7 linked regions of the Sus scrofa genome follow. The protein of the gene in region 2 purifies or fractionates together with the protein of the main gene of each other region. This does not show direct contact. Links are inferred from orthologs where the notes say so. Each region holds a gene or a part of one and is shown on either strand. Other genes may lie near its edges.

Evidence for each region.
Region 1: the proteins of BACH1 (region 2) and MAFF purify together in Homo sapiens (affinity purification with mass spectrometry; 3 studies listed by BioGRID and IntAct, counting the BioPlex papers as one, with this or other methods). This does not show direct contact. The link is inferred for Sus scrofa from reciprocal best matches to the Homo sapiens genes BACH1 and MAFF.
Region 3: the proteins of BACH1 (region 2) and XPO1 purify together in Homo sapiens (affinity purification with western blotting; 3 studies listed by BioGRID, with this or other methods). This does not show direct contact. The link is inferred for Sus scrofa from reciprocal best matches to the Homo sapiens genes BACH1 and XPO1.
Region 4: the proteins of BACH1 (region 2) and FAM83D purify together in Homo sapiens (co-immunoprecipitation; 3 studies listed by BioGRID and IntAct, counting the BioPlex papers as one, with this or other methods). This does not show direct contact. The link is inferred for Sus scrofa from reciprocal best matches to the Homo sapiens genes BACH1 and FAM83D.
Region 5: the proteins of BACH1 (region 2) and HMMR purify together in Homo sapiens (affinity purification with mass spectrometry; 6 studies listed by BioGRID and IntAct, counting the BioPlex papers as one, with this or other methods). This does not show direct contact. The link is inferred for Sus scrofa from reciprocal best matches to the Homo sapiens genes BACH1 and HMMR.
Region 6: the proteins of BACH1 (region 2) and MAFG purify together in Homo sapiens (affinity purification with mass spectrometry; 5 studies listed by BioGRID and IntAct, counting the BioPlex papers as one, with this or other methods). This does not show direct contact. The link is inferred for Sus scrofa from reciprocal best matches to the Homo sapiens genes BACH1 and MAFG.
Region 7: the proteins of BACH1 (region 2) and MAFK purify together in Homo sapiens (affinity purification with mass spectrometry; 6 studies listed by BioGRID and IntAct, counting the BioPlex papers as one, with this or other methods). This does not show direct contact. The link is inferred for Sus scrofa from reciprocal best matches to the Homo sapiens genes BACH1 and MAFK.

Annotation. Positions count from the first base shown.
Region 1 is NC_010447.5:9,683,151-9,685,403, reverse strand, and holds the end of MAFF (transcription factor MafF), read left to right. Parts: coding exon 1-358; 3' UTR 359-1,753; downstream 1,754-2,253. UniProt on the Homo sapiens protein: Since they lack a putative transactivation domain, the small Mafs behave as transcriptional repressors when they dimerize among themselves.
Region 2 is NC_010455.5:192,680,289-192,683,788, forward strand, and holds part of BACH1 (transcription regulator protein BACH1), read left to right. Parts: coding exon 1-40; intron 41-1,803; coding exon 1,804-3,147; intron 3,148-3,500. UniProt on the Homo sapiens protein: Transcriptional regulator that acts as a repressor or activator, depending on the context. Binds to NF-E2 DNA binding sites. Plays important roles in coordinating transcription activation and repression by MAFK.
Region 3 is NC_010445.4:80,282,516-80,286,015, forward strand, and holds part of XPO1 (exportin-1), read left to right. Parts: intron 1-650; coding exon 651-832; intron 833-1,970; coding exon 1,971-2,019; intron 2,020-2,096; coding exon 2,097-2,216; intron 2,217-3,500. UniProt on the Homo sapiens protein: Mediates the nuclear export of cellular proteins (cargos) bearing a leucine-rich nuclear export signal (NES) and of RNAs.
Region 4 is NC_010459.5:41,889,352-41,892,722, forward strand, and holds the end of FAM83D (protein FAM83D), read left to right. Parts: intron 1-880; coding exon 881-1,862; 3' UTR 1,863-2,871; downstream 2,872-3,371.
Region 5 is NC_010458.4:60,329,225-60,333,458, reverse strand, and holds the start of HMMR (hyaluronan mediated motility receptor), read left to right. Parts: upstream 1-1,434; 5' UTR 1,435-1,614; coding exon 1,615-1,660; intron 1,661-4,234. Other genes in the region: NUDCD2 (nudC domain-containing protein 2), read right to left, coding at 758-946. UniProt on the Homo sapiens protein: Receptor for hyaluronic acid (HA). Involved in cell motility. When hyaluronan binds to HMMR, the phosphorylation of a number of proteins, including PTK2/FAK1 occurs.
Region 6 is NC_010454.4:1,072,074-1,075,327, forward strand, and holds part of MAFG (transcription factor MafG), read left to right. Parts: exon of another isoform or gene 1-33; intron 34-49; exon of another isoform or gene 50-931; intron 932-1,043; 5' UTR 1,044-1,071; coding exon 1,072-1,107; intron 1,108-1,202; coding exon 1,203-1,655; 3' UTR 1,656-3,254. UniProt on the Homo sapiens protein: Since they lack a putative transactivation domain, the small Mafs behave as transcriptional repressors when they dimerize among themselves.
Region 7 is NC_010445.4:1,029,866-1,033,365, reverse strand, and holds part of MAFK (transcription factor MafK), read right to left. Parts: exon of another isoform or gene 2,697-3,500; intron 2,450-2,696; exon of another isoform or gene 2,431-2,449; intron 2,027-2,430; 5' UTR 1,983-2,026; coding exon 1,947-1,982; intron 1,131-1,946; coding exon 696-1,130; 3' UTR 1-695. UniProt on the Homo sapiens protein: Since they lack a putative transactivation domain, the small Mafs behave as transcriptional repressors when they dimerize among themselves.

The sequences.
Region 1 (2,253 bases), on a different chromosome or scaffold from region 2:
GGTGACCCGGCTCAAACAGCGGCGCCGCACACTCAAGAACCGTGGCTACGCCGCCAGCTGCCGCGTGAAGCGTGTGTGCCAGAAGGAGGAGCTGCAGAAGCAGAAGTCGGAGCTGGAGCGCGAGGTGGACAAGCTGGCGCGCGAGAACGCCGCCATGCGCTTGGAGCTCGACGCGCTGCGCGGCAAGTGCGAGGCGCTGCAGGGCTTCGCGCGCTCGGTGGCAGCGGCCCGCGGGCCGGCCGCGCTCGTGGCGCCAGCCAGCGTCATCACCATCGTCAAATCCGCCCCGAGTCCGGGGCCGGGCCCCGCCCCCGCCGCTGGCCCCGCCCCCGGGCCCGCCCCCGCCGCCTGCTCCTAGTGCCCACTGAGCCCCGCCCCCGCGCGCCCTGCCCACGCCCACCCTCCAAAGCACGCCCTTCCGACCCCAGCTGCCTTCCCTAAGAAAGTGCCTAAGCTCATTCTCTCTCCCATTTCTCTGCAGCCATTTCTCTGCAGCCACCAGTCCTCGAAATGAACACACGTTCCCTCCCCCGAGCCTGTCTTCCTCGTGTGGTCCCTGAAACTGGGACTTGATGGCCCTGGGGAGGGGCAGCTCTGGTGAGATAGGAGGTTGGGTGAGGTCAGGGTCTGAGTGAGGTCTTTTTTGGCAGAAACTTCATCCTTCTTGGTTTGGGAGGATGGGCTACAGAGCAGATTGGAAAAGGGCCATCAGGGGGAAGAGGGCCACCCCTCATTTTGTAACTGCTCAGCTTGCGCCAGCGGCCCCTCTTCACCCTCCCAGGATACAGCCCCATCTGTGTCTTGCGGAGCTGTCCAGCTGGGACGCGGATGCTCCCACCTCTGCTTTGGTCCTGGATGCCTGGCCTTCCAAAGCGTCTTTAGAAATTGCCTAGTGAAGTCCAGTTAACAGATGGGAAGACAAGCCTCCAGTGGACATGACAATGCCCAAGGCCATACATGCTTAGTGGTTGAGCTAGAACTAAAAGCCACGGCTTCCTGCTGCTGCCCTGAGATTCCTGCCATGGTCGGCCGGGGGCAGGGCAGGGGGAGACAGTGGGCAGCATCTGAAAAAGGTGGTGCCAGGGCCTCCCTGGCTTGACAGACGGCTCTTTGTGAGGCAGGGGAAGAGAAGCAGAAGGAGAGAGAAGGTGATGCAGATGGAAGAGAGGGAAGGAGCTGGCCTGGCTCAGTCCTGGGCTCTCGCTGCAGCCAGGGAGCTGGCCAGCCGGAGAGAAAGGGGACCAAGGAGGTGATCACAGTGGCAAGTGGGGAGATGAGAAGACAGATCCAACTGCCCTGCAGCCTGGGATGGGGGTCCTTAAAAGGAAAGGGTCCCACCTGTCCTCCTGTGAGGGTCTGCTGTGGGCTGGGGGCCAACCCCTGCCATTGATTGCCATTCTCCTGGGAAGGCTGGGCCCTAGCCCCACGCCCACTATAGAGCTTCCTGTCCCTGCTGTTTATTTATTACACGAATCTAAGTTATTCTCCCCCAGCCAGAGCCCTAGCACCCACTGCCTGGGAAAAGTGGTATGCGGTCCTGTGCTGGACTTTGTGTTTTATATCTGCAAATAAATCACATTTTATCTTATATTTAGGGAAAGCCGGCTGACAAAAGCAATCAAAAACTGTTTTAAAAAAAATTGCCCGGTCCCTAGATTTTATTTATTTTTCCGACTTACAGTAAGCGAGTTATCCGCCTTCTGTATTTTGTAGACTTTCTGAATAAAGTCAAGTTCTCTTTTTCCACAGTTTAGAAGTGTATGTCCTGGTCTATGTTTTTTGGGGGGAGGGGGGTGGGGGGTGGGTCCCGAATGAGGGACCCAAGATGCTTTCAACCTCAAGCAGGACCCTCTGCTGGGTGGGAAGGCTGGCCCCAAGTTGCAGATGAAGAGACTGCCCTGTTAGCAGCTCCTGCGCCTGGGCTGTGGGCGGGGCTGGGGCTGGGAGGTGGGGGGTGGGGGAGTGGAGTGAGGGCTGCAGGGGACCATAAACCCCTCCGTCTTTCCATCAGGTTACCTGAAGGCAAGGAGCTTCCTGGGAAGGCAAGCCCCAGAGGACAATGAAATGCAGAGTTAAATGCCCTGGGCATCCCATCAGCAAATAAACAGTCCTGCCCACAGAGGAAAATTCCCCCATTTAAGAGTAATCTTTCCAGCACTTTCACATTGAGGCCTGACTTTGTACAGCCAAGGAAAACATATTTTCCTCATGTTCCAGAAGGCACAAGGAGGCAGTGGACCCCTCAGCCTCAGC
Region 2 (3,500 bases):
CCAGGCCGACGCTGAGCTGCGCATCACTCTGCCTGAGGAGGTGGGAGAGGTCACCCTGATTTTAACCGAATGTCATTAATTCTGTCATGGTTTATAAAGTTAAAATAGGCCAAGGAGCCCTTCCTTGGCTTCTGCAACAGTGCATTTCCTTAGCTTTTTTGTTTTCTTGGAAATGATGACATTTTCCATGTAAAATGATTAACTTTGGGTGCTAGTTAGTATTTATTGAGCAGTTGAATAATTTGACCCCTGTTACATTATTTTTGATGAAATGACGCAGCGGGTGGATTACAGACATTTGGTGAGGTCATGTTGGGTGGGAGGGACCACACTGCAGGCCATACTCTTCCTTTTTTCCTGTGATGAGGAGCTGTGATGGGGATTAGGGGTCTCCACAGCCTCCATTCCTCTCAGACATGCCCTCGTGGACATGGGCTGGGAGTGAATTGGTGGCTCCCTGGGATGCTCAGTGTTAATTGTTTTAACTATGAGCCAGAGTTGCCAGATTTTTCAGCTTTTCAAGTAGCTCTTAGCAAAGCATTTTAGAATTTGGAGGGAACCCAAAAGATTATGCATTCCAGCCTCCTCATTTTGTCTACGTGTGGGTGTTAAGGTACTCCAGAACTGTTCTTTTTTCTCTCCCTCTCTTCTTTCTTGAGATTGTGGCTTATGCATTATTAGAAAAAGGGTGCTATTATGTCATCTTTATAGAGCCTTGTTCTCACACACCTTTTGCCCACCAGCCTGTTGTGGAGCTTACTCATCTGGACATTTAAGTCTTTGTTACCATCCTGCCTCTAGGAGACCTCTCTCTAGGGCTGGAGCTGGGTGCAGGGACTCTTCCAGCAGCTTGCTTGATTGCGTTAGTATCTACAGCTGGAAGAGTGCTGAGCTTTAGGCATTGGGACACACATCAGAAGCTGTTAAAAGGAATTTGGACAAAGCATGTGTGTAACAGCTCTGTGCAGGCTGCTCTTTGATGACAGTGTATCTTGATCATTCTTAGAAGAATTCAGTGTTTTAAAACTAATTTTGTGTCTTAAGCCCAGAATGAGACTTTCCTTGTGTTGCCATGGGCTTCAGTTGCCCCTCATTTTGCAGAGGCAGTGTAAATGCACAAGTTCCTACTTAAAGATGTTACTACCTAGAGTCCATGAATCTTTTCTGAAACAATACTTGGCATAATTTTTTAGATCTTCTCTTAGCTCACTTTTTAAAACTGAAATTAAAAAATTTTATTAGATTTTTGTCATGAGATAAAAGATAAAGATAATAGTTACCATTTACTGTGCATTCCCCATGGGTCAGGACTTTAGATACTTTGTTTTCCATTGTTACAAATTTCACATTTGTAGTTTATAGCAGTTGGGGAGTTGGTGGAATGTAGGGACCACATGGAGATGGGATGGCAGCAGACACCTGGCACTTGACTCTGTGTTGCAACTTGTGTCCATGCTGCTTTCTTCCATAGATGATTTCTTTCAGCTAATGTGGACAGTTGTGGCGGTGTTTATGTCTTACCTCCTATCAGTAAACTGAACTCCATGGGTCATTGAGAGTGAAATCTATAAAGTGGAGGGTGTGATTGTAATGAATAGGATGTGCGAACTATGCTTTCCCAGACTCCCTTTGCTTTACATTTCCTGGAAGAATGTTTTTTCTTACCAAATTAAAATACCCATTAAAATAAGCCGTTATGGAGAGGTTACCCATCTTGCCATTCATTCCCTTCCTACTTCTCTTGTACTTATCTACTAGACAGCTTTCATGTGATGCATTTGTTTTTATTTTGTATATTAACAGGTGACAGTTAAAGGATTCGAACCTTTAATTCAGTTTGCCTACACCGCTAAACTGATTTTAAGTAAGGACAATGTGGACGAAGTATGCAAATGTGTGGAATTTTTAGGTGTATCTGATATTGAGGAATCCTGCTTTCAGTTTCTCAAATACAAGTTTTTGGACTCTGCTGCAGACCAGCAAGAATGCCCAAGAAAAAAATGTTTCTCATCATCCTGTCAGAAACCAGATTTTAAATTTTCACTTTTGGACCAGAAGGATTTAGAAATTGATGAAGTGGAGGAATTTTTGGAACACAAAAATGTGCGGACTCCTCACTGTAAACTCCGCCGGTATCAGGGGAGTGCACAAGTACTGCCTCCTCTGCAAGACAGTGCCAGTCAAACATGTGAATCCATGTGCTTAGAAAAGGATGCTGCTCTGTCTCTGCCGTCTTTATGCCCCAAATACCGGAAGTTCCAGAAAGCGTTTGGAACTGACAGAGTCCGTGCTGTGGAGTCCAGTGTCAAAGACATTCACACTTCTTCTGTTCAGCCAAACGAGCCCTCCGAACGTGAGTGTTCAGGAGGTGTCCAGGACTGTGCAGATTTGCAGGTGATTTTAAAATGTGAAGAAAGAAAATTAGCAATGGAACATGAAGAAGCCAAGAAGAAAGATCCTGCCTCTCAGTGCCCATCAGAAAAAACAGGAGCAACTCCTTTCCCCCCCAGTTCTACAGACCCCCATGGGCTCTATTCTCTGTCTCTTTTACACACGTATGACCAATATGGTGACTTGAATTTTGCTGGTATGCAGAACACAGCAGTGTTAACAGAGAAGCCGTTGTCGGGTTCAGATGTTCAAGAAGAAAAAACTTTTGGTGAGAGTCAAGATTTACGTTTGAAATCTGACTCTGGCTCCAGGGAAGATAGTAGCCTTGCCTCAAGTGATCTGAGTAGTGTAGAGCGAGAAGTGGCAGAACACCTAGCGAAAGGCTTCTGGACTGACATTTGCAGCACGGACTCTCCATGCCAAATGCAATTATCACCTGCCATGGCCAAAGATGGCTCAGAACAGATCTACTCCCAGAAACGGTCTGAGTGTCCCTGGCTAGGTATCAGGATTAGCGAGAGCCCGGAACCGGGTCAGAGGACTTTTACAACGCTGAGTTCTGTCAATTGCCCTTTTATAAGTACTCTGAGTACTGAAGGCTCTTCGAGCAATTTGGAAATCGGAAATGATGATTATGTTTCAGAGCCCCAGCAGGAGCCTTGTCCCTATGCGTGTGTGATTAGCTTGGGAGACGACTCTGAAACAGATACTGAAGGAGACAGTGAACCCTGTTCAGCCAGAGAACAAGAATGTGAGGTGAGCAGAAAATAAGTGAGTTGTTAAGTCATTGTTTTACCACCATTCATTGGGATTAATGTGTCAGCACCTGTTGCACTGCTAGGGACCTGAGCCGACTCAGGCAGGGAGGGGAGACATCCATGTACAGTAGTTTAAAAAAACAGGATAAATACCAGGAGTGCGGGAAGAAGTATGAAAGACTTCTGTCTTCATATATTTCAAATAGGTGTATTTATTATGTTAACGAGGGAGTAGATTCATACATTGGCTGTTTAACTGTTCAAATTAAATGCCATGTCCCAAGAGGGAAAAGAGTAATAACTCTGTAATCATTATGTGATAACTTCTAGTTAAATACAGCACATATTTAG
Region 3 (3,500 bases), on a different chromosome or scaffold from region 2:
GTAAAATAAGTTATAGGAACATTGGGTTTTCCCCAACACTTGGATTTTTACTAAGTTACTAAGTTCTGCTGGCTTTTATACTGAGGACTTTTTGTTGTAAACCTGTCGTACTGGGAAAAGAAAGAGTACGAAGAGGTTAATTTGCTTACCTCTTAGTAACAGGTACTATTATAGAATATCTGGATTGGAAATCCCTAGTTTACAAAATAAGCAGTACAGACCTTAAAATCTATTAAGCCTTTGGTCAAAGATGATTCTGTCCCCATTGGGAATGCTGCTTTTCTTCAGAGTTTATATATCCAAACCCTACTATATTTCCCTGCCCATCACCTTTTTTATCACATAGAGTTTGATCTTTGAGTCTCCTAGGATAATTTGCACATGTCTGACAGATATACATTAGAGCCAGATTAGAGCAGTCAGGATAATTGAGAGGAGGAATGGGGCTTTTGAGACAAAGAACTTTATCAGTGTTGTACTTTCTACTCAGTGTATTATATGGAGAGTAGCACATTTCCTGTCTTACTGTAGGAGAGGGGAGAAAATCAAAGATGGTTGGTATTTGCTCCAGCTTCTGGTATCACAGTGTCTATGAAGTTTGTCTTATTTGCCATTGAAAAATGAAATTAACTTTTCCTATCTTATTTTAGATATTGAAACAAGAATGGCCAAAACACTGGCCAACTTTTATCAGTGACATTGTTGGAGCAAGTAGGACCAGTGAAAGTCTCTGTCAGAATAATATGGTGATTCTGAAACTCTTGAGTGAAGAAGTATTTGATTTCTCTAGTGGACAGATAACCCAAGTGAAAGCTAAGCATTTAAAAGACAGGCAAGTACTTGTTTTAGAATTTTAAAGTAATTTTTCTAACAATTCCAAGGCATTCGGATGTAGATTAAAAATTTTTATGAAACTATGATTGTTGAAAACTAGCACATTTCTAGTTCTTCTTGAGTAATAATTTAAATAGTGGTAAAGTGAGGAAGTTCCTGTCTCGGCTCAGCAGAAACGAATCTGACTAGTATCTATGAGGAGGACACAGGTTCAATCCCTGGCCTCACTCGAGTTGGGTTTCTGGCATTGCCAGGAGCTGTGGTGTAGGTTGCAGGCATGGCTTGAATCTGGAGCTGCTATGGCTGTGGTGTAGGCAGGCAGCTACAGCTCCAATTCGACCCCTAGCCTGGGAACCTCCATATGCGGTGAGTATGGCCCTAAAGAGACAGAAAAAAAAAGAAAAAAAAAAAAGGTAAAGGAGTGGTCTAATACTCTAAATATGAAGGCCTAAAAAGTATATGTGGTATTACAGCAAATTAGCATTATACATGTCACGTGGAAGGGGTATAGTATAGGGTAAGACTTCCCAAGAACCTTTTCGTAATCTGTTTTATAAGGTGTCTAGTTAATTAAGGTCCAAGGAATTTACGTGTGTCCAAATGTCTAGTGAATCTTTCTGTTCTGCATTTTGTCACTTCCCCAATAGTTAACGCTAGGAACATGTCAAATTTTATTTTCTTCAACATAGTAATAAAATGTGTTTAGTCATTAAGGAACAGAAGTATTATCTTTATGTATTGAAACTAGCTTCAGAATTTAGAATTTTTTCCTTTGATTTGATGTATAGATACATTTTAGGATTGGGGTATATCTATCTAACACCACTCCTTATTTCGGAGAATTTTCTGTCTCCTATCTTGATTTAAAAGACTGAATTGATTGAAATTACTCAGATGGAATAAGGATGACAAAAAAAACCCATACCTAAAAAAAAAAAAAAAAAAAAAAAAAACCCACAAAATTAATGCTCTTTAGGTGAGTCTTAAGAGTGATATTACAAACATAGTTTTAATAACTTTGTAAATAGAAGTAATTAAATTTTTTAATGTCCAGGCTGCCAATTATGTTAGTATGTAAGTAATCACAGTATTTTTATTTCTATGTGTCTTCTAAATGGATCACTTTTATTTTTTAGCATGTGCAATGAATTCTCACAAATTTTTCAGCTGTGTCAGTTTGTGATGGTAAGTGCTTTTAATTTCATTTTTAAAAATAATGATCATACATGAGAACATGATTTACAAGCGTATTTTTATTGTAGGAAAATTCCCAAAATGCTCCACTTGTACATGCAACTTTGGAAACATTGCTCAGATTTCTTAACTGGATTCCACTTGGATATATTTTTGAGACCAAGTTAATCAGCACATTAATTTATAAGGTATGGTGGTATATTTCAGTTACATTTTTTACTAGATAGTTGTGTGTATTTTCTTATTTTATATAGAAAAACCGTTCTACATTCCTAGCCATAATCAATGTTGTTTCTAAAATGAGGAAATTTTCTATAATTTCAGCTAGTCTTTTTTTTTTTTGGTCTTTTTTTTGTCTTTTGTTGTTGTTGCTATTTCTTGGGCCGCTCCCGCAGCATATAGAGGTTCCCAGGCTAGGGGTTGAATCGGAGCTGCAGCCACCAGCCCACGCCAGAGCCACAGCAACGCGGGATCCGAGCCACGTCTGCAACCTACACCACAGCTCACCGCAACGCCGGATCGTCAACCCACTGAGCAAGGGCAGGGACTGAACCCGCAACCTCATGGTTCCTAGTCGGATTCGTTAACCACTGCGCCACGACGGGAACTCCTAGTCATTTTTTAAAAGTGTCAAAATCTCAGGATTCTGCCACCTGTACCATGCGCACTCTCCATGTGAACAACTAATAATGAATTTAGTTTGCCTTTATTTTAGTTGATTATATATGTCACAGTGAGGTAAGCTAAGGGATATTTCTATGAAATGGAAAATGTATTTTTTTCTGATAATTTTAAAGTAGTAGTATTTAATGCTTATATGTAAAAATCTTATATAATCATTCATCCAGAGACAATCAATTACTAACCTGTTATATTTTCAGGTGTTTTCTTATCAGATATGATGAATAAATTATGTATTTAACCAAGACCTTACAAAAGCAGACTATTATAACTTAAATTTGGGGCTTTGTAACTCTCAGGGCATGATACGGTCATATTCTATTCTAATATGAATTTAATATATTGAAGCCACCATTTTATTGCTACAATTTATTTAAAATTGTTTGCTATTGTCTACAGTACTGCAGGTAAGGTCAGACATTTAGGTACTTCTCAATTCAATAAATACACCTTCTCAACAATAAAATGTAAAAACTAGTTTTTCTCACACCTTCACTAATCCTAGGTATATATATGGCTCATCTCCTAAATTCTAAACAATCATAATTTTTTAAGATTACGCAGAAAACATGATGTCCTTAAGTGTATTATAGTAGATCACTTGGGGAAAGTTTCTAAGCAACTTTGGGCTTTTCAGATACCTAAGGACACATCAAAAGAAAGCACAGTTTGCTCCTAAAGCATTTACTGTCAGTTGGGTGAATAAGGAAATTTGTGTAAAAGATACGTACCAAAACCCTTATCATCTATTTATGATTTTTTTTTGTTTAGTTTTCTGATCTTTAAATCTT
Region 4 (3,371 bases), on a different chromosome or scaffold from region 2:
CCTGCATCCTAGGGGATAGGATTCTCTGGCCAGCCTGGGTCACCTGCCCACCACCACTGTGATTGGAGAGGGGGCAGAAAGGAAAGCTTTCTGTGCAGGGGTGGTGGGGTTAGAATGACAGTCCTGTCCCCCTTTGTGAAAATGGCAGCATAGCGGAAGAGAGCAAGGAGCTCTGCCTTTGTGGTTCTTAGGGACAGCGGCCTAGTCTAGGCCCTGTCACTGCTTCCAACTGTGATGTCACTAGGCAGCTTCCTCACTTCTCACATAGGGCACTGGCCTAAATGCTTTAGGAGTCCTTTCCAGTTTTTAACAACTGGAATTGTGAATTTTAGCCTGGTAAACAGTGGCCTTTTTTAAAAAACGTTCTTAATTTTTGGCCAGACCCATGGCATTAAGTTCCCAGGTCAGGGATCAGACCTACGCTACAGCAGTGACAATGCCAGATCCTTAACCCACTGAGCCACCGGGGAACTCCAACAGGGGCCTTTTCGTTTTGCTTTTTAGGGCTGCACCTGCAGCATGTGGAGGTTCCCAGGCTAGGGGTCTAATCAGAGCTGCAGCTGCCGGCCTACGCCAGAGCCACAGCAACGCCAGATCCCTAACCCACTGAGTGAGGCCAGGGATTGAACTCGCAACCTTATGCTTCCTTGTCGGATTCATTTCCGCTGTGCCACAACGGGAACTCCAGCCTTTTTATTTTATGTTAACACGTACCTATGTTATATTCTGTGTCTGGACTAGTTGAATACACACTAAATGATAGGTGTGCTGTCACCAGAGTTGCGACTGGGTTGTCCAGGCTTTGTATTCAGGTTGACAAGAAGTAAACAAAGATTCCTCATCCTTACCAGCTTCTGTTTGTTTGTTTTTATTCCTTAAGTTTCACCTGGACAGATGGCAAATTAAACAGCAGCAACTTGGTCATTCTGTCTGGCCAAGTGGTCGAACACTTTGACCTGGAGTTCCGGATCCTGTACGCACAGTCAGAGCCCATCAGCGCCAAACTCCTGTCCAACTTCCAGATCAGTGGCAAGTTTGACCACCTCATTGACCAGAAAACACCGTCCAAGGAGCTCACGCTGGGCAACCTGCTGCGGCTGCGGCTGGCCAGGCTCTCGAGCACCCCCAGGAAGGCCGAGCCGGGGTGCAAGGAGGACCGGGCAGAGGCCAGGCGCGGGGACGCCGAGTCCTCCACCATCAGTGAGGACGACTACTTCAGCAGCCACAGGGACAGGCCAGACAGCAGGAGGGCGACCGATGCCGCCACGCAGACGGAGCCAGGCGAGGGGACGCCAGCAGTGAGCACGAGTGACACGGGCACCCAAGCCAGCGCAGCCACAGCTTGTGCTGGCACCCAGACCACGGTTGGCACCAGGGTGGCGAGCTCCCAAACTGCGGTCCGGTCCACGTCGGCCACGACCCAGACCGACACGGAGGAGGGTGGCCTCTTCTCGCAGGGAGTCCCGTCCAAAGAAGGGTCGCCGGTGTCGAAGATGTCTGTGTCGGGGTCCTCCAGCTCGCGGTCTTCCTCCTCCTCTCTGTCGTCCCAAGGCTCCGTGGGCAGCTCCGGCAGCCCCCCGGCTTCCCTCAGAGCCACGGACCTCGTCACGCCGGGACACCCCAAGTACTGGAGCACCCCCCACTTGGATCTGTGCTTCAGAGACTCGTTCAGAAACTTAAACAAAGAGCGGCAGTTCCACTTGGCTGGGATCAGGTCCCGACTCAACCACATGCTGGCCATGCTTTCAAGGAGAACCTTCCTCACGGAAAACTACCTCAGTTTTAATTCTGGGACTTTCATCCGAGCCTCCGCTAACCTGGTGGCCGTGAGAGATATCACACTTTATCCCTCCCATCAGTGACGGCCCTGTGCCTTCGGAGCTGCCGCCGTCACCCAGGCTCGCCCTGGACACTGTCAGAGCAAGGATGCTTAGCGGCATCTCTCCTGTCCTAATTGCCTTTCTTTTACCCTGATTTTCTTTGAATGCTCTTAGTTTATGTGCTTTATCTTTATTTTGTTCTTAGCATGCATAAGCCAGGTACTGGTTTTGTGGGTGAAACACTATGGATACAGGTTTTTTTGTTTGTTTGCTTGCTTTTTTTCTTTTTTTTGCCATGCCTGCAGCAAGTGGAAGTTCCTGGGCCAGGGACTGAACCCATGCCACAGCAGCCACCCAAAAGATGGCAGTGACAATGCTGGATCATTAACCACTAGGCCACCAGGGCACACCCATCCCGATTTTCTTTGAATTCTATGAACTGCACGTTATTTTATGTGCTTTATTTTTATTTTATCATGTGTAAGCCAGGTATTGGTTTTATGGTTTAAACACTAATGGGTACCGTTTCTTTGCACAATTTGAATCTTGATATCTCTTCAAGAGAATGTTTTAGGGTTCTCAGGTAATTCAGGTAAGAGATAAAATATGCATTGCATTTTTCTAGATTTTTGTGCACTCCTGCATTAGAGGTTTGAATCATTAATTTTCATGATCAAAATCCTGTTTAGAAAAAAACCGAAAACTCTATTTCTTTATTATTATTTTTATTTTTAGGGCTGCACTTGTGGCACATGGAAGTTCCCAGGGTAGGGGTCAAATTGGAGCTATAGCTGCCAGCCTACACCACAGCCATAGCAAGGCCAGCTCCCAGCTGCATCTGTGAGCTACTCCATGGCTCACAGCAATGCCAGATCCTTAACCCCCTGAGCAAGGCCAGGATTGAACCTGCATCCTCATGGATACCAGTCAGGTTCGTGACCACTGAGCCACAATGGGAACTCCAAAACTCTGTTTCTTAATTATCTGTCTCTTCTTTAGAATATCTGTGTTCTTAGCATTTAGTTCTTAAATAAAGAACTCTTGTTTGGTGGTTGCTGTGTCCTTTATTTTTCTCTCTCTCTGCCACTTTTCTGGGTTTTTGTTGTTGTTGTTGTTTGTTTGTTTTGCTTTTTTTTAGGGCTGCACCTGAGGCATATGGAAGTTCCCAGGCTAAGGGTCGAACTGGAGCTACAACTGCCTGCCTACACCACAGCCACAGCAATGTAGGATCCAAACCATGTCTGTGACCTACACCACAGCTCAGCAACACCAGATCCTTAACCCACCTGAGTGAGGCCTGGGATCGAACCCGAGTTCCCATGGATACTAATTGGATTCATGTCCACTGAGCCACAACGGGAACTCCTGGCACTTTTCTGTTTAACTCTAAGAGTGTCACAAGTAAATGCACCTAATACCTATTTATGCAGTTTTTTTTTTTTTTTTTTTAAACAGTGTTGGGATGGAGGAGTAGAGAATCCAAATTATAAAAGATAAATATCCACTTAGAAGGTAACATAAAAAAAAGTGACACGGAGCAAGTGTCAGAGT
Region 5 (4,234 bases), on a different chromosome or scaffold from region 2:
CTTTTTAGGGGCGTATGGAGGTTCCCGGGCTAGGTGTCAAATTCAAGCTGTAGTCGTTGGCCTACACCACAGCCAACAGAAACGCCAGATCCCAGCCATGTCTGTGATCTACACCACAGCTCAACGCAAGGCCAGATCCTTAACCCACTGAGAAAGGACAGGAATCAAACCTGCGTCCTCATGGACGCTAGTCAGATTCTTTTCTGCTGAGCTTAATTTTTCTAATTTTGGATGAGACATTACCTCCCAATCCTCATCCCGACATCTTTAGCCTCTATTTTTATCTTTACTGTCCTACAACTGCCCACATATTTATTAGTTTAGTTATGCCTCCCGCCGAGACCCTAACTTCTCTCACAGTACGGGAACATTATCTGGCTCCTTCACCGCTGTCCTCCCAACACCTAGATCAGTGCTTGGAAGATAGTACATGTACTATAATTATTTGTTCTTTCAAGGACAAGTTAAGCTGTTCTCATAGAAGACCCGCAGAGGAACAAAAGCAGCAGCTTCATCTGGCTTAAAAACAAGGCCAGAGAAAAGGGCTACTCAAATTCCCACCTCAAATGTGGCTGGCCCTGAGCCGGGGGCGGGCTCCTACCAGACCGAAAACCAGGGCAATCTCATCCCTGCTTCGGCCAGTCAAGAGGAGCCGAACGGCCCTCCAGCAGTCTTTCCACGAAAACCATGATATTTAGGGCTGGGGGATTTGAGGAGGCTGGAAAGAAACTGAGTATAAGCCCCGACCTGCCGCTACCTTGAGGATCTCGCGACCACCCACGGCCAGCGCCACATGCCGGCTCTGCAGGCCGCACTGGATATCCTGGGCGCGAGTGCCTGGCGGGACCTGAACTTCAATGAACACCTCCTCCAACGTCTGGTACCACTGGCCCCACGGCGTCCCGCACGGAACGACCCCACTGCGTTCCTCAAAAGGGGCTGACATACTCCAATCGCCTCCCGGCTGCGGTGGCACCGAGAAAACTGAGCGCAAGCGCGGAGCCTCCGCGCCCAGGCCACGCCCCGTCTCCTCCGCTCGGGTCACTGCACATGCGCAGGAGTGGACCCCCGTGTTTCCACCTGCGCTCTTTCTTTCCTCTCAATGGCCATTAGGACACTGGCAGGACCCAGGTTGAAGGAACTGAAATCCGGAAAAGTTTACATCCAAAGACCGATGGAAGAGGCTTGCAACTCGTAAAGTTAGAACGCAGGACAGTACCACCAATATGACGTCAAGAGCGACTGAAAAATTCGCTGATGTGAACTGCGATTGCGCAAATGCTGCTTGTGGCGTAGTTGAAATTGAGTAAAGCCAGTAGTGATTGGGCCAGTGTGTGGGGGAGGGGTCGAAGTAAAAAAGTACTAGTCTCCTATTGGGTGATAACCTAAACTAGCAGGCCACCTGATTGGACGCCGCGAGAGCCGAGTACGCAGGCTCTTTGGGTGTTCCCTTCCTGGATTGGTGTACCCAAGGCTTTGGTTTTCCGATTGGCCAATGTCGCCTGGGCGGGAATAATCAGGGAGATTTGAATTTGAAGACAGTAGGCCATAATAACCCTCTGGAAGTTACCGAGGAGCGCTGATACCTTCGTGTTTGTGGAGCTGGTCGTCAACATGTCCTTTCCTAAGGCGCCCCTGAAACGATTCAATGACCCTTCCGGTGCGTACGGGGAAAGGAGATGGGGGACAGGAGATACTCTCATACCTCTTGCCCCTTTTGCTTCCCTTCATCAGAGGCAAATAGCGATTTTTAAGGCTGGGACGGGACTCCTTTTATTGACTCCTTTTTTCTGAAATATAAGCCAAGTATTTACTACATACCAAGCACTATTCAGGATGATAAGGATACAGCAGTGAGCGAAGCAAAGCCCCTACCCCATAGATCTTACATTAATTGGAGAATGCAGCCAATAAACAATTAGTGCCTTCGGAAACTAAAACAGATGGAAGGGAATAGGAATGAGGAAGCGGCGGTAGCTATCTGTTGGTCAAGTCGGAGAGTCTCACTGATAAAAAAATATTTTACCGTCGCATTTTGTTTGAACTTGTGGATTTCTTATTAATATTCCATTCAAGCCTAAGAAAAGGAAAATTGGTTAAAGCAGTTTATGGGTGGCAGTAGCACAAAAACACTATAGATTAAGTAATGGGAGTTAATTTTGATAGTACAGTACCCCAGATAGCATACTGAGTTTTTACATCAATTATTTTTTTATTTTAATTCCCGCAAATACATATTATCTGTTGTTTTTATTGATAAAAAGATGGAGACTTGTTTATTATATTTGCTCAATGTTATGCAATCCAGATATCAGAACTGGGGCCCCAAACCAGCCTCCTCAAACCATGCTGTGCTCTTAACCACTGCTGTGCTTAATTAAGCACAGTAACCAGGAAGCCTTAGATGTCGTTTGTAAGGCACTTACCATTTATTGGAGGTAACTATGCAGGGATTTTGCTGAGGTCTTCTGGCTAGATCAGATTTATCTTTCCAACAGCCAGGTGAGGCAGGTACTGATATTGTCAACAATTTACAGATGAGGAAACTAAGAGTTTCTGCAGCCAAACTGAGCAGCCTGTAATAAAACTTAACATCAAAACTCATGACTCACCCATCATAATGTATACTTTTTAACAGTCACTCATTCCACCTTAATTTCTATCAGCTAACTTGCAAATGGAAATGAGGCCAAGTGAGCAAATGCATTAGCACAAGCTTTTTTTTTTTTTTAATTGAAAGGCTCAAGGACCATATACTTTCCTAGACATTCAGAGAACCTCTTCTAAGTTCTGTCAGCAGTGTGTATCTTATGAGAATTTTTTTTTTTTTTTTTGCTTGTAATAAATTAGACTGGTTTTGCCAGTTACACAAAATTTCAGGCTCACAGTTTCAGAAGTAGTAATACATCATTTATTTGAGGCTTGGTATGTGTGTGAGGCACTGTAGTGATTTCTTATAAAATTCTAGTAATCCTAACAGCTGTAATATGAGGTAAATTTTTTTTTTTATTCCTGTTTCATGAATGAAGAATCCATCTCAAATAGAAATAATTTTCCAGGGGTTTTAAAGCTAGACTGGAAAAGGGGAGAATATAATGTTCTTATCCATCATCTTCTCCCTATGACTACGGAGTACTTGGCACCAAAGCTGTTGATTGGCAGACAAAGGTGGACGTGGATTTGACCCTACTGATTACTATACAAAACCCTATTCCCATTCCCACATTCCCTGTGACTGTTTTCTTTTCCACACTTCCAGATTCAACCCTGAGCTAAATACTGAGGATACGGATATGATTAAGACTGTCCCTGGAGGTCCCATCGTGGCTCAGTGGTTAACTAATCTGACTAGGAAGATGATGAGATTGCGGGTTCAATCTCTGGCCTTATTCAGTGGGTTAAGAATCCAGCATTGCCGTGAACTATGGTATCTAGGTCTCAGACATGGCCCAGATCCCGCATTGCTGTGGCTGAGGCATAGGCCAGTGGCTACAGCTCCGATTAGACCCCTAGCCTGGGAACCTCCCTATGCCATGGGTGCTGCCCTGGAAAAAGACAAAAAGACAAAAAAAAATTCTTTTAAATAAAAATTTAAGTTAAAAAACAAAACAAAACACTGTCCCTAACTTCAGGCAGTTTTGTCTAAGGTGGGGGATGGATAAATATGTTATTATAAGCCATTACAAAACTACAGGAAATTCTATGATAGGAACAGTACACACAGGCTGCTGTGGAATGAAGGTTTCTAGCTTGATTTGGGGATTTAGAGAAAACTGCAAGAGGCAACATCTGGGCTGAGATCTGAAAGAAGAGGCAGATCTCAAGTCAGCTATGCATAAGCACTCTGAAATGCCTTTCATTTGGGATTCCAGTTACATGAGTTATACAGTATGAAGTGCTGGAACATAGAAATATAGTGACATTTGTACTTTGCATAACATGACTTTATGAATTTCCTGCTGTATTGATATTAGACAGAGATGGATTATCACTAAATTTTTATTCTAAGCCACATCTTAAGGGCTAGGCATTTTCAGTAGCTTCATTTCTTAAATCTAGTGGTTGTTACTCCGGTGAATCTCTTTAAGTAGAGTTGATTCCAAATATTTTATTTCTTATGTTCAAACCTTAATAACAAATCTGTGTTGCTTATTCTTACACAGTGTTCATCCCAAAACTCTTTGTTGTTTTGCTCAGTTACCATGCTCCTTTGACCCAACTGAAGTAAAGGTCA
Region 6 (3,254 bases), on a different chromosome or scaffold from region 2:
GGGGGCCGACTGAGCCGGGAATCCCAGCACTAGGTGGGTGAACAGGTTCTTGGCAGGGCTGCAGAAAGGGAGGCAGGGCGAGGGGGAAGGAGGGACCCTCCGGTTTTTGTTTCCTGCCCTGGAAGTGTGGCCCCCACATAGGGAGCCGAGAACCGTCGGGCCAGAGGGGGCTGTGCAGGCCCCTGGGGCCGATTGTGGGCACTTGTGAAAGACCTGGGATGGGGTGGGGCAGGGCCGCAAAAGCTTGCAACCCAAAGCCACCGGATGGTTACTCCATCAGCAGCAGAGGTGGACCGAGGGCGGAGGGCCTGGGGCAGGGCTCCTCTGGCTGGAGGCTCTGCCGCCTGGAGGGTTGGGAACTCCCACCAGTGCTGGAGCAGAGTCGGGTGGGTTGGCCAACCCCATTTGCTGCTCTTCCGTGTGAGCCCTCTGGGAGCCTCCGTCTGCCCTGCAGGGCTGTGTCCCAGGGCGGCTCAGGGGCAGCGGAGGCCGGAGGTGTAACCCTGGAGTACACACGCGCAGGGTTGCTGGCCTCGGCCCTTAGCTGCTGCTGGCCAGGCTGGCCTTCGCGGCCCCAGCAGCTGGCTGCTGCCAGGCCCCTGGGGCTGCGTTGGCTGGCGGCCTGGGGAGTGCCAGGCCGGTGAGAGAGCGCGGGAGCGATGTGCTGAGTCAGCATGACTCGCCAGGAACAGCCGTGCTCTGGGGCGCACTGGGGTTATTTTTAAAGCTCCCGGCTTCCTTCTAGGCTGGCCCCTCCCGCATCCTCCTAATCTCTCCCCTGGCCCCCTGGCCCCTTTTCTCGCCTCTGCCTCCCTGACAGCCTTCAGTTCCCCTTCCCCCTCGGACCCTCCTGGCCTCCCACCTGGTTCCTGGGGGCAGGGTGGACAGGGAGCAGCCCGAGCCAAGGCTGAAGGGTGGTTCTCGGGGCCAGGTACCCAGGGCAGGAGCAGGCAAGGGGCGAGGCTGAGGGCTGGACGGGCAGAGGCGGCCGGGGAGGGCACGGGTGGTCTCCGGGGTCCTGACCTCTGCTCCCTGTCTCGCAGAGTGCCTGCTTGCTGCGCCCCCCGGGTTATGACGACCCCCAATAAAGGAAACAAAGCCTTGAAGGTGAGCAGGGAGGTTGGGGCCGCTCTCGGGCTGGGGTGGCACCGGGCGGGCGGCCTCCATCTGGCCTGTGACCTCGCCCGCTGTGCCCTCCCCAGGTGAAGCGGGAGCCAGGCGAGAATGGCACCAGCCTGACGGACGAGGAGCTGGTGACCATGTCCGTGCGGGAGCTGAACCAGCACCTGCGGGGCCTGTCCAAGGAGGAGATCATCCAGCTGAAGCAGCGCCGGCGCACGCTCAAGAACCGCGGCTACGCCGCCAGCTGCCGCGTGAAGCGGGTGACCCAGAAGGAGGAGCTGGAGAAGCAGAAGGCGGAGCTGCAGCAGGAGGTGGAGAAGCTGGCCTCCGAGAACGCCAGCATGAAGCTGGAGCTCGACGCCCTGCGCTCCAAGTACGAGGCCCTGCAGAACTTCGCCAGGACGGTGGCCCGAAGCCCCGTGGCACCGGCGCGGGGCCCCCTTGCTGCCAGCTTGGGGCCCCTCGTCCCCGGCAAGGTGGCCGCCACCAGCGTCATCACAATAGTCAAGTCCAAGACGGACGCCCGGTCGTAGGGACGTGCTCAGCCCGGCGGGTCTGCAAGGGGCCAGTAGGCGCGTGGCAGATTCGGCAGCCCCGTCCCCTTCCTCCTCCCCCGCTCCCTCCTCTTGGCCCTCCGCCTCCTCCCTTCTCTCCTCCCTTCCCTGCAAAGCACAACCTGCAGCCCAGGGGCGCCGGGCTGAGCCCCTTTGATCTCGTCGTTGTCATCGTGTGTTTTGTACGTTGGGATTGGTCAGTTCGGCGGTGACGTGGGCGGCCCCGCCCCCTCGGTACCTCGGGCAGGTGGGCTCGGCGTCCAGAGAGGGCCTGGGGGCCTGGACGGAGCGAAAGATGGAGCCAGTGCTCTGGGGCAAGTGTGGCCCCGAGCGGGGAGGGCTTCAGGGCAGGAGGGGCTGCTCTCCATTACAGAGGGGGCCCCCGGGGGCCCCGACGGCGCGGGGCAGGCAGGGCGGGTCCCTCTCAGCCCGGCCATTGCCGGCGCTGGGGGGGCCTGGGGCGTCGTGTGGCTGCGGGCCAGGGGCCTTGGGCTCCTGCCTGAGGCGTTGCACTGAACAAGACCAAATCACTGGTTGTGAGCGTCCGTGAAGGGTGTGTCCAGTGTCCTGCAGTGGGTCCCCTGTCACTGTTTACATGACCTATTTGTGTGGTTACATAGCCCTTTATTTAAGAGAGAGAAGTTCCTTTTACGAAGTTATTAAATTATATGTTTAAAAGCTACAGAAGAAAAAAAGCTGCAGAGTATTTATAAAATTGTCTTTTTAAAAAAAAAAAAAATCAAGCCAGAACGTTTGACCATAGGCACGGAAAAGGGAAGAAAGCATAATAGAAACTTTGCTAGTTTAGAAAAAAGAGAAAAAAAATCAACAAAAAAAAGTCCCTTTCTTGTAAACTTACGGACAAGTCTTTGTGGCTGTTGGAGTTTAGTTTTTATATACACAGAGTTATCAGACGTTATTTATAAAACTTAGTTTAAAAAAAAAAAAAAAAAAGAGCCGAGCCGCGAGCGACCCGAAGGCGCGTCCTCACACGTCCTCTTTGCTGTCTCTCTTGCAATTGTACCGAAAGTGACTTACTCCTCTGCCCTTCCTGCTTCCGTCTCTGCCGGTGCCGTGGTGTCGTGCGTGCCTGGTGCGGTCTTGTGCAGCGTCACGTGCTGGTGCTTCTGGTGACCTTTGACCTGTGGGTGTCCCTTCTTGTGTCTCTTCTCCCGTGTTCGTTTTTTGGATTGGGTTGTGGTTTGGCTTCCGCTGGCTTGTCAGGCTCGGGCTGGGGTGCCGGCTTGTGCCTGCCGCACGGAGCGTGGGGTCCGGGCCCGGCCTCTTCTGCTTTGGCGCCCACCCCAAGCCCCAGGGGGGTCAGGTGCGGGGGCTCTGCCACCCCCACCCCACCCCCACCCCCCGGCTGACCCTTGGCTTCGCGTGTGTGTCTTGGGCTTGGGCTGATCCAGCGGCAGGGGAGTTGAAACTGGGGGCCGTCCGGGCCTCCCCCCTGCCCCCCGCCGCTGCTTCCTTGCTCACCGCCTCTGGCCCTGGGTGGAGGCTTTGCGGGGATCAGGGAGTCACTGTGCGTGTCGGCGGAGTCAGGGCCAAGCGTGTCTTCCTTCTGGCCTCCGT
Region 7 (3,500 bases), on a different chromosome or scaffold from region 2:
CCCCTGCTGCGGAGGAGGAACCCAAGGCTCGCACGACCCTGCCCGCATTTGCCACGGGACCAGGTGACCGCCCACAAGGAGCTGCTTCCCGAAGCCCCCTGAGCCGCTAGTGCCCTGGTGGGAGGACAGGCACACGCGTGTACAGACACGCACACGCCTGCACACGCACGCCGCCCTTCCCCCGCCAGCTTCTCGGGGCACCGGCCTGGGGCTGAGGCTGAAGCAAGCTCCCGGTGCATCGGGACCCCACGGTGCTCGGCTCCTCCCAGGGCACCGCGGAGCCGTCGGGGCGGGGACGGGGTGCTGCCCTGGCGGGGGCGCCGCAAGGGGGCCCGAAGCGCTGCGGGGCGTGGACAGGCTGCTCAGGGTGGGGGTGGAAGACGCGGGGGCCTGGAACCGTCTGAGGACCTTCCCTCCACACATCCCAACTCCTCCAGCGCAAGACAGAAGCCCCAGAAATGCCCCAGAAATGTCTGCAGAGCACCGGCAGGGCCCAGGAAGGCCGGGTGCGGGTGCGGGCGGGCGTGCGCGTGAGAAGGCGTGCGGCACACGGGCCCTCGGGAACCGGCTCTTTCCCAGCCACAGCCAGGGCCCCGCGGGCCTCCTGGACCGGACGCGGTACTGAGGGGTCTGGACCTCCGACCAGCTCGAGGGACGCGCCCCGCCCGCCCGCCCGCGCCCCCCCAGGCCGGGCACTAGGAGGCGGCGGAGAAGGGCACGGAGGTGGAGGAGATCTCGGCGGACTTGACGATGGTGATGACGCTGGTGGTGGCCACCTTGGTGGGCGTGATGGGGCCGCGGGCCACCGTGCGGGCAAAGGTCTGCAGGGCCTCGTACTTGGAGCGCAGGGCGTCCAGCTCCAGCTTCATGCTGCTGTTCTCGCGGGCCAGCTTCTCCACCTCCTGCTGCAGCTCCACCCGCTGCCGCTCCAGCTCCTCCTTCTGCGTCACGCGCTTGATGCGGCAGCTGGCCGCGTAGCCGCGGTTCTTGAGCGTGCGGCGGCGCTGCTTCAGGCGGACCACCTCCTCCTTGGACAGGCCGCGCAGGTGCTGGTTCAGCTCCCGCACCGACATGGACACCAGCTCATCGTCGCTGAGCACCGGGGCGTTCTCGCCCACCTCCTTCTTGACCTGCGGGGCCACAGCACAGGCTCAGGCGGGGACCCCGGCGCGCACCGCGAGGCCCAGGTCTGCTCCCCTCCGCGTCCCAGGCCGGCCCGTCCTGCTCCAGTGGGGTCAGCCGACCTCGTGCACTCGGGGCGGTGCAGGGGTGTTCGCTGGCGGGGGGGCCTCTGGCTATGTCGGCCACGACCGGTGACCGCTGGCCGCCCAAACCTGCGAGGCCTCGGCCCAGCGGGGCTGCCTGTGACCCTCTGGTGCCCGGTGCAAGGCTGCCATGGGGCGGACGGCCGCCCATCTCTCTGCACCCCTCAGACTCCAGGACCCAGCCAAGGCCAGTGGGCTGGGCTCCACGGACCGCAGGACCTCACGAGAGGCTATGAGAGGCTTGGCCCGCATATGCTCCAAGAGCCCACCTCGGGCCAGGCCCAGCTCTGCTCCGAGACGAGAGACGGCCAGTCCGAGGACACACGCCAGCCCCCGACGTGGAGGCGCAGGGAGCCGGACCCCGGGGGCCAGAGCACCCTGCTCACTGCACCCCTCAGGGGCTCTGTGGGAGCAGAGGCCACGTGACCCAAACCCCGGTGCCGGGGGCTCAAATGTTCTCTGGCCAGCCGGCCCCCACCCCTCCAGCCCCTGGACGTCAGAGCCCCCAAACTCGGTCGCCACTTTTCCCAAAGATCCTCCCTCCCTCCAGGCAACAGCTCCTCCCACCCTTGGGACAGGCCTCCTTCCCCGCGCTCTAAGGGCGGCATCGGGACGGGGCGTCTGGGGCCGAAGGGACCTTTGCCAGGCCTGGGCGCAGGGTCTGCCCACCCCACCCCTTACCTTCAATGCCTTGTTCGGTTTGGGATTAGTCGTCATAACCTGGGCACCGTCACCCGGACAGAACCGTGTGGAAATGGTAACTAGAAAATCACAGAGCACAGAACGAGCGTGGTTAGTTCCTGGCCGGGCACAGGGCAAGCTGCGGTCGCAAGTGACCCAAAGCAGGGACCCCCGGGGGATGCTCCCAGGCGGCGCCACCCCCACCTGTGCCGTCCAGGCATAGCCCCTGAAATCAGGGCATCCTGGCTGGGCCTGAGCCTCTCAAGGGGCCCGGGAGGGCACGGGCCACACCTCAGGCTCCAGCCCCGCCCGCAGAGGAGCCTGGATGCCCTCTGTCTGGTGCCCGGCAGCCGCAGGGCCGTCCCGCACCCCGCCTCCCCCTGCCTGCAGGGCCTGGCCAGGAGCACCTGTGCCTGGGGCAGCTCTGGGCAGGAGCACTGCCACTTCCTGTTCTGACCTTGGCCCTGAGCTCAGACGCTCGCACCTGGGAGGCACTGGAAGCCACGTTCAGGGGACACGGCTCAGCAGCAAAACCCCCTCTGGACAGGCCACACCCAGCCCCTGACAATCACCGCTGGACCCAGGGACAGCAGTGCCCAAGCAGGACCCGTCACTCTGGGCCCGCCTGGCCCCCGACACGAAGGTGCCTTCTGGGGAGCTCCTGCCTTGCTGAGCTCAACCCAACGATGGGCAGGGAGGGGGAGCCCCGAGCCCACGGGGCCCAGGCCTCACCCTCCCCGGCAGACCTACCTCTGCCAAGGGCACTGCAGCTGTGACATCACCGCCTCCACCTCGGCTGCCCCACAGCCATGACCTGAGGCCCAGAGGTGGGTGGGGGCTCCCACGCCAGCCCGGACGGGGGAGGTGGGGGCCACCACCTCCAGAGCTCACCGACCGTCTGGCGGGAGTTGTCCCTGCAGCCCGCCCTTCTCATTCTCGCGTCTGCATTGTGTCACACATTCTAATCATTCATGAAAAAGCCAGCCAAAGCATCCCAAGCATGATTCCCCTCTGATAGTTGCCATGGCGACCTTGGGAAGTAGCCAACCCCTGATGGTCGTCATGGAAACAGAGAAGCCCACAGCAACAATGGCTTCGGGCGGGCTGTGCAGGTTTGCGAGGCAGTGAGCAGGCCCCTCGTGCGGGCGGCTGGGGAAGGGGCGTGGGATTCCTGGCCCCTGACTCACGGGGACACTATGTCACCGGCTTCAAGGACTGGGGGCTGCCCTCCCCCAAGCCCAGACAAGATCCAAATGCCAGGCAAGGTGAACTGAGCAGAGACAGGGTCAGAGAGACACCCGAGGAGCGTCTCAGGGCCAAGACGAGGTGCACCAAGGCCTCCACACTGGGGGGACGGGGCCCTGGGTGGGTACCTCGGCCTGCAGCCCCAGGACTCGACGGAGCACTGTCCGGGCCCGCCACCACCGGCCCTGCCTCCGACAGCTGCCCACCCTTCACCACCAGAGGGGCTCAGCACCCAGGCCAGGGGACTCCCGGGGGTCCCTGGCAACACGGCTGCTCTCCGGGTGCGGGGAGGGAGAGCAGAACAGCAGC